2 linked regions of the Neurospora crassa OR74A genome follow. The protein of the gene in region 1 interacts with the protein of each later gene in a biochemical or structural test. Links are inferred from orthologs where the notes say so. Each region holds a gene or a part of one and is shown on either strand. Other genes may lie near its edges. The genes, in order: apg-1 and atg-8.

Evidence for each region.
Region 2: the proteins of apg-1 (region 1) and atg-8 form a complex in vitro, tested with the Saccharomyces cerevisiae proteins (3 studies listed by BioGRID, with this or other methods). The link is inferred for Neurospora crassa OR74A from reciprocal best matches to the Saccharomyces cerevisiae genes ATG1 and ATG8.

Annotation. Positions count from the first base shown.
Region 1 is NC_026503.1:2,936,468-2,940,394, forward strand, and holds the start of apg-1 (ATG1 protein), read right to left. Parts: upstream 2,729-3,927; 5' UTR 1,178-2,728; coding exon 1,046-1,177; intron 936-1,045; coding exon 1-935. UniProt on the Saccharomyces cerevisiae protein: Serine/threonine protein kinase involved in the cytoplasm to vacuole transport (Cvt) and found to be essential in autophagy, where it is required for the formation of autophagosomes.
Region 2 is NC_026502.1:3,123,552-3,126,799, reverse strand, and holds atg-8 (autophagy protein 8), read right to left. Parts: upstream 2,126-3,248; 5' UTR 2,007-2,125; intron 1,888-2,006; 5' UTR 1,790-1,887; coding exon 1,700-1,789; intron 1,631-1,699; coding exon 1,413-1,630; intron 1,340-1,412; coding exon 1,282-1,339; 3' UTR 746-1,281; downstream 1-745.

The sequences.
Region 1 (3,927 bases):
ACAGGCCTTTCCTCCTTCAAGGACCGGCGACGTGGTGGCTTGGGAATGTCGTCTTCCACAAGTCCTGGAATAGGTTCTGTGACAACAGGATGGTTAAATAGATCTTCAAAGCTTATTCTCTCCACCGGGTTCTTCTTCAAGAGAGCGCGGATGAGGCCTTTCATCTCTTGGCTAACCACACTCTCCCTTGTGAACTTGATCACATCGCCCGATGATTCGATTTTCCTCAAAAGTTCCACATGATTGCTGGCTTTGAAAGGCGGCCTTCCGGTTACCATTTCGTACAATACCGTGCCCACAGACCACAAATCGGCCTTCGCATCGTACTTCTCATATCGCAAAATTTCTGGGGCCATGTAAAGAGGAGAGCCGCACAGTGTCTCGGCGAGGGATGTCGACGGCAGCACACGGGCGAAACCAAAATCGGCAAGCTTCAGCATCGGGGCCGAGGCTAGGCCGGCAGCAGGCGTAAAGGAGTCATAGCTGCCACTCATGATGTGTTTTGCCGTCTTGTTGTTCGCCATCATATGAGGAGAGGGAAGCAGAAGAAGATTCTGGGGCTTGACGTCTCGATGAACGAAATCCCCAGCGCGCAAAAACTGTAATGCGCTCGCCAACTGTTTCAGAAAGTGGCGAGTCACTACCTCATTCAAGCCGGCGTTCGGATAGACGGGGTACTTTCGCGCAAGGTCGTGCGTATAGGGGTTTGTTATGAGCTTGTCTCGCTTCTTGATGAACAGCGACAAGTCACCGAGTTCGCAATACTCCATGATCAGATTGATATGGGTAGAGGATTCAACGCAGTCATGGAGCGCGACAATATGAGGGTGTCGGAGGGTCTTGAGAATTTGGATCTCCCCGTACAGGTTTTCCTTCAGCTTCTTATTTAGGCGGGCGAGCTCAACGGATTTGACAGCAACCAATGCGCCAGTGACCTGTAGGCACGATATGTCAACAAGCAGCCCAGATCACGGTACGGATGTGAGGTCAAGGCCGAATGGGATGCTGAAAGATCGATCAGGGTGAGGCTGCAGAGTACACTAACCTTATGTCGACCTAGATAAACCTTTGCAAAGCTTCCTTTTCCTATCTCTTGGTCAATGACAAAGGATCCAATGGCATCGTAGTTCTGCTTCGTCCTCCTCGAAGACGAGGAAGCAGACGTTCGGTCCGACATGGCTTCCTGGTGTATGTGTTGATGACGGGAAGTCAGTGTAAAGGTAGGTAGCCCAAGGGACTAAACTATTCGGAAGACGTCAACCTCAAGTCTGGCAGGCATGTATACGCCAAATAGTATGGTGCTATCGATCCGGGGTTGAGGTGGTGAGGATGATGAAGAGGAGCTCTAGGCAGAAGCAGAGAAGTTTGTATGAATAAGGCCGATTGCGTTCGGTTATGCAATGATGCAGGTGGAGATGATAGGTCGAGGATGTGTCGAAGCCAAAGATGAAACGGCAAATGCGTGGTCGAGGGAAGAGGTTCGAGTACGAAGTACCTTGATGGTTCTTCGAATCTGTCATGCGCCAGGCTTGGATGGGGATGGCAGATGGACAGCCAGGCGACGATGAGACTGGGTGGAGCCAAGAGAGAGTATACGGTGGTATGGGATGGAAGAGGAGGTGCGAAGGGGGGTCGAGCTCAGTACAATCGTTTCAAAGTCTGGAGGAGTCGGAGAGGACGGGATGCCTAGGTGAGCCCGAACGGGTGGCTGATGGAACCGTCGATGCGAAAAAGAGCGGAAGAACGGCAGAACGAACAGGCAGTCGAGCAGCTGAGGTTGATGGAGGAAACGACGGACGGATGAAGGCTCAGGACACAGTAGAATAGGGTCCAAGCTCCGACACCGACACTGTTGTACCTGGACGTCTGCTATCAGTACGGAAGCGTGGTTGTTGACAGCTGCTCTTCCTCCACCGCGGCAGACTGACGTCCTACGTCAAGTCAATGACTCAGACCCGATCGGCCGCAGGCTGGCCTCGTCCGTATCAATCGGTTCGACAACAGCGAGGGTTGCGGCTGGGTTATATCTAGTTGTGCGATTGATCTGTATAGGATGGCGGATTTGTACTAGGTAGCGTCTATGAGAAACGGGTCGAGAGAGCAATAGGATGACGCGATGGTCGGCGGACCGGCATACGGCAGTTCATGCGGAAGCGGCGAAAGTTGGTATGGTGTCGGGTGTATGGATGTGGTATATGGCGATAGATGTCAAAGACGCGATGGATCCCGCCGATGGCGATCGGAACCTGAGGGTGCGAGACCGGAGACAGCGGAGAGGGAGACCGAAGCTGTGACCTTGACTCGGAGGATGGAGAGATGAACGGGCGATATGGGATGGGGGGAGAGAGACGCAAAGGTAGTTCGGTAGAGCCGGCCGAGGGAGGCAATTCTGAAGGGCCCAAGGGCGGTGCTGGTAGGAGATGTTGCGGATGATGAGTGGATGGGGACCTGACGCAACGGGGGGGAATGGGTGTGGTCCTGTCGTGGGAGTGTCTGGGTGGTCGGTTGGCCGTGGTCGACGGTCGCGGTGATGGGTGATGCGGATCGAGGGACGCCGCAGGAAGGAGTGGGTGGACTGCTGGATGGACAGCGATAAGTGATAGCGCACCAGTACCTCTAAGTGAGGTACCGTATCGGGTACCCAGGCGGTACCGACGTAACAGACACAAGACTGGGGGCGGGCGAGCTGTACAATCGTCAACCTAGGTAGGTACCCAGGGTATTTGTGCCCGGAGCGGAGCACGGGAAAGAGCCGTTGCCCGCAGTTCTTTGGTTTATTAGGTTGGTAGACTATAAACTTTGATATGCGTGATTCCCAAAGGGGGGAAGACAAAGACGTTATCTTCAGTCTCTTCTTGAGAGGAAGTTGAGATTAATGGCAGTGAGTGAATGACGAGAGGAGACGGCAAAAGAGGGACGGGAACCTCGATGGGCAGGGCAGCATCAGCCAGATCCAGGTGGCAGCAGAGGGGGGCAGCGTCCCAAGCGACTTGCGAGTGACTACACCTGGAGCTCGTGATGATGTGCAAGGGGACTGGTCCGTGCAGGTGCATTGGAGTCATGATGCCTCGACATGGTCTGCACCAGTCAATGTAGCTCGTGGGTACCCTGCGGTAGCATTCGAGGCCGTCTGCCCAGCTCTTCCGCCTTTCCAGAAGGGGTCAGGTGGGCCCGGGGTACGCAGACGGTACGAGGGCCCTGTTACGCTGCGAGTGGAGTTGCACGTTGCCGGCCCGCCATTGGCCCCAACTCCCGACGCTACCTAAAACGGCCTGTCCTTCTGTGGTGATAAGGCACTTGCAGCTTGATAACATCACCGCTTGGAGTGACACTGGACCTCGCTGCGAACCTGGAAGCCTTGAGGCGGGTTTGCTTCTCCACGGATAGGCAGCCTGGAAATCTTGAAAATGATTGGAACCTGTTGTCCGAACACGTTGGAAGGAAGCAGTCGTAATTAGGTTATAAAGCTGGGTGGGTTCTTCGTTGTCGGTTATGGGATCTCTTAACGGTCAGTCTCCATGTCGAAACGCGTCATGTTGTTGTTCCTGTCATTTACCGCTTGTCTTGCGTCTTTGCGGGCACCGAACCGAGCACGAGGCAAAATCACGTAGCGTACTGGCACAAAGTCGCAATTGATGGACATGTTCAGTCCCGAGCATCAACCCGTCGCTAATATCGACCTGTCTCCATTTCAAACTGAATACGTACAAGGTAATAGCCCGGCTGCCCGGTAGTAGTGTTCCCAAAGAGTCATCAGCAAGGACCCTCGATTCAAGACTTCGGTTGCTTCTAGACGAGACGGGGCTTGGAATTACTCATTTACTCATTGTTCCAAACAATGACAATATCACCAAAGTCTAATCATCTTTGACGACACAGGCACTCCAAAAGCAATCAACCACACATCCATCCATGGCCACTGTGCGC
Region 2 (3,248 bases), on another chromosome or scaffold:
TTTAAGGCTTCTACCGAATAAAGGTGTAGAATAGTCTACTCCGTGTCTCTTATCTCCATGATGTCACTGATTTTCTTTTTCCCTTCTTTTCTCTACTTCTATCACTTGGACACCCACAATTCCCTTTCAATTGTGCGTTCGATCCTGCCACTCACACTCACACCCCTACAACTGATATTCACTATGGATGAACTTGTAGCAATCAGCATCGTTAACCATTCATTGTTTGTCTTTCAACTTTCTCACTCATCCCGCACGTATAGCCCTTTGTTGTTTCAGTTATTGCTGCAGCCACAGCCCATTGTTTTGACCCCACATGATCATGATCAGACGAAGTTTTGTGATGACTGGTTATAGTAGAAGACAATATAACTATCAAATTTGATGTAATGTTTGAACAGCGATGTGAAGTTAATTTTGTAGAGGACAGAGGAAGTTGATGAAAACGTGTCAGTCATGCGCCGAGGCAGGTTACTTTGAGTGTCTTGGGAGTTGCCCCTGGAGGTTAGGCTGCAGACCTATGCAATGCCAAGTAGTCGGCACATCTTTCTTGTATTGGCGAAGCATGAAGTTGGTCTAAGACTGCCAGAATCGGATATACGAGTTTGGCGAGTTTGTACCGACGGCGACACTGTCGTAGGAGTCCTCCGTGATTTCATCAAATCGGTTCAGAAGAACTGGGAAGACCAACAGTTAGCTCAACACACAATGGATTTAACCAAGCGTCATTATACACAGAGACCATCAACCATGACAACCAGTGTAACGATACCCAGCTAGGATACGTGTAATACCTATCGTATATTCTATAAGCTACGTGCTTCCTCGTGATATCCACGTATGGAACTACCGTCCTCGTGATGTGCCTCCATTGCGGCCATGTATCCAAGGTTCATGTTCGGAGGGGTTCAACAAGGGATGTAAGTCACCGGCGTGGTGAAAAAGGGCATAGAGAATGAGGGTAACATTGATTTGTGAACCGGGCAATCCAACGGCAAATGATGCTGTCTCTAGACCAAAGCACACCGGGAAGCAAAGTAAAGGGGACTTCACTTTCATACGGCTGCAGGTGGCACCTAAGTCCAGACCCCAACAGCACAGTCCCATCGTCCCTTCTGTCGTAGCAAGCCCTCCCCCTCTTCAGCCAACGTGACCCTAAGGATATAAACCCAGCAGAAACAACATGATGCACAGCCCACCAACCCGCTCATTGATCCAGTAATCGTGTATGAATCCCAAAACGCCCACAACGTCTAAAGCAAAACGATAGAGAGGATATGATTACGCAGTCTCGAAGTCGCCGAAGGTGTTCTCGCCCGAGTATGTGATGTAGAGGAAACTGTGGTAGTAGTCACGTTAGTCTGGGTTACAGTTGGAAAAAAAAATGATGGGGGATGGAGGCTGCCACGTACCCATCCTCATCCTTGTGCTCCTCGTAGATGCTGCTCATGAGAGCAGCGGTTGGAGGAAGGACCTCATCTACGAAGATGAAGATGGCCTTCTCGGGCGACAGCTTGATGCGCTTGCGGATGACGTAAACGAACTGGCCCACGGTGAGGTCCGCCGGTACGAGGTACTTCTTCTTATCGATGGTAGCGATATCACTCTTCTCGACCTTTTCGCAGATAACCTGTGGCGACATGTGTTAGTTAGGGATAAGGGCGGTGACTGCGGGATCGTCCGGATGGGGGATGCTTACGGGAATACGGTCGGAGTACTTTTGGCGAATACGCTCGGCCTCAGCCTTGCGCTTCTCGAAGGGGTGCTCGTCCTTGAACTTGGATCTCATTTTGGCGGTTTGGGTTGATAATGTGGAAGATGCGGTGATAGGTGTTTGGCTTTGAGATTGACTACAAGCGTGGATACGATGGATGGATAAGACGATGTCTGCGATAGACGGAATCCGGTGTTAGTCGGAAGAAGCGGCTATTGAAAGGGAGATGGACCATGGATGGCTTCCACAAGGAGCAGAATCAGTGTTGGCCGGCTGGAAATGCAGAACATACCTTGATGACTGGCGTGTGATGAAATGAGGAAGCTGGGGAGAGATGTCAGAGGTAAGAAACGGCAAGAGGATGAAGAGGGGGAAGAAGGGTTGATGTACCTCTTTGACCATCGATGTAAGGTATGTTAGTAGGTAGGTTGCCAGGCAGTGTTGCCTATCGGCCGCGTCCAGTTGGCGCCTGCCCGCCTGTCTGCGCAGCACGGGTCAAAGGCCCTGGACGGGCACGCCAGGACAACCTGAACACTAAGCGGGTGACCAGCAGGCGGAGGCGGGGCTGACCAGATGACTAAAGCGAGAGTCGATCCTCGATTGGGCTTAGCTCGCTCCCAGTCGGTGAATCAGATGGGTCACTGGCCGTCGCTCACATGGTCAAGCTTAACAGGTCACTGCCTTTTCAGTGGCATTCCAGGGGCATTTCAAGGCGAAGGCGTGCCCGGCACTCAGCTAGGAGCGGTACCTGAACGGTACCTCTTGGCCATCAGTGGGGCGGCGTGGAGGTATGTACCTAGCAATGACGCAGCACTAGGTCCGTATCCGCCTCCTATCTCTCGTTCCATGTACACTACTGTAGTACACATTACCAAGTCCTAGGTTGATGATACCTTCCACTTGTATCAGCGGCACATGGACAAGACAAAAGGATGGCCCGAAGAAGGGCGCATTGTAAACCTCCTTTCCGTTCCAAGGGCAGCCTCGTGGCCGTGATCCTTTGGCTTCCCGGTTCGTTGAACGTGTGTAGACCGCATTTTACTAAGAAGGGCGTGGACGGTTCCATCGCCTTGGCCAGCGTCTCGAACTTGCACGGGCAGCTTGTTGACCGCTTTGTTCGCCTGCCGTCTACCTAGGTACCTCTACACTATTAAAGACCTACGGAGGACCAGGTCATGGATGTCACCACTGCGAAGTCGTCATTCTCTCCGCTTGTTCGCATTTGGTATATCTTATCCATGATAAGTAGTCTCCTATCGGCAATGAAGCTTTATCCTGGAGCTCCTCCCGGGCCTCCCTACAACTGAAGTCCGATCGGAGCTGACCATTTGCCCCGCCATCAATGGGACCTGGGCCCGTGTGTTTATTATCAGGTACCGTTTTCGGTGTCCGCCTAGGTGGCTTTTCCGGTCGCTCCCGGAGTGCGTGCAGCACCAAAAGTGGACATCTCGCTCCTCAGGGTCCGGTTCCCCGTCCATCCACTGGAGCCGTTGAAATGCAAGGAACACCCCGCGAATGTTCCGTTTGGGCTGCC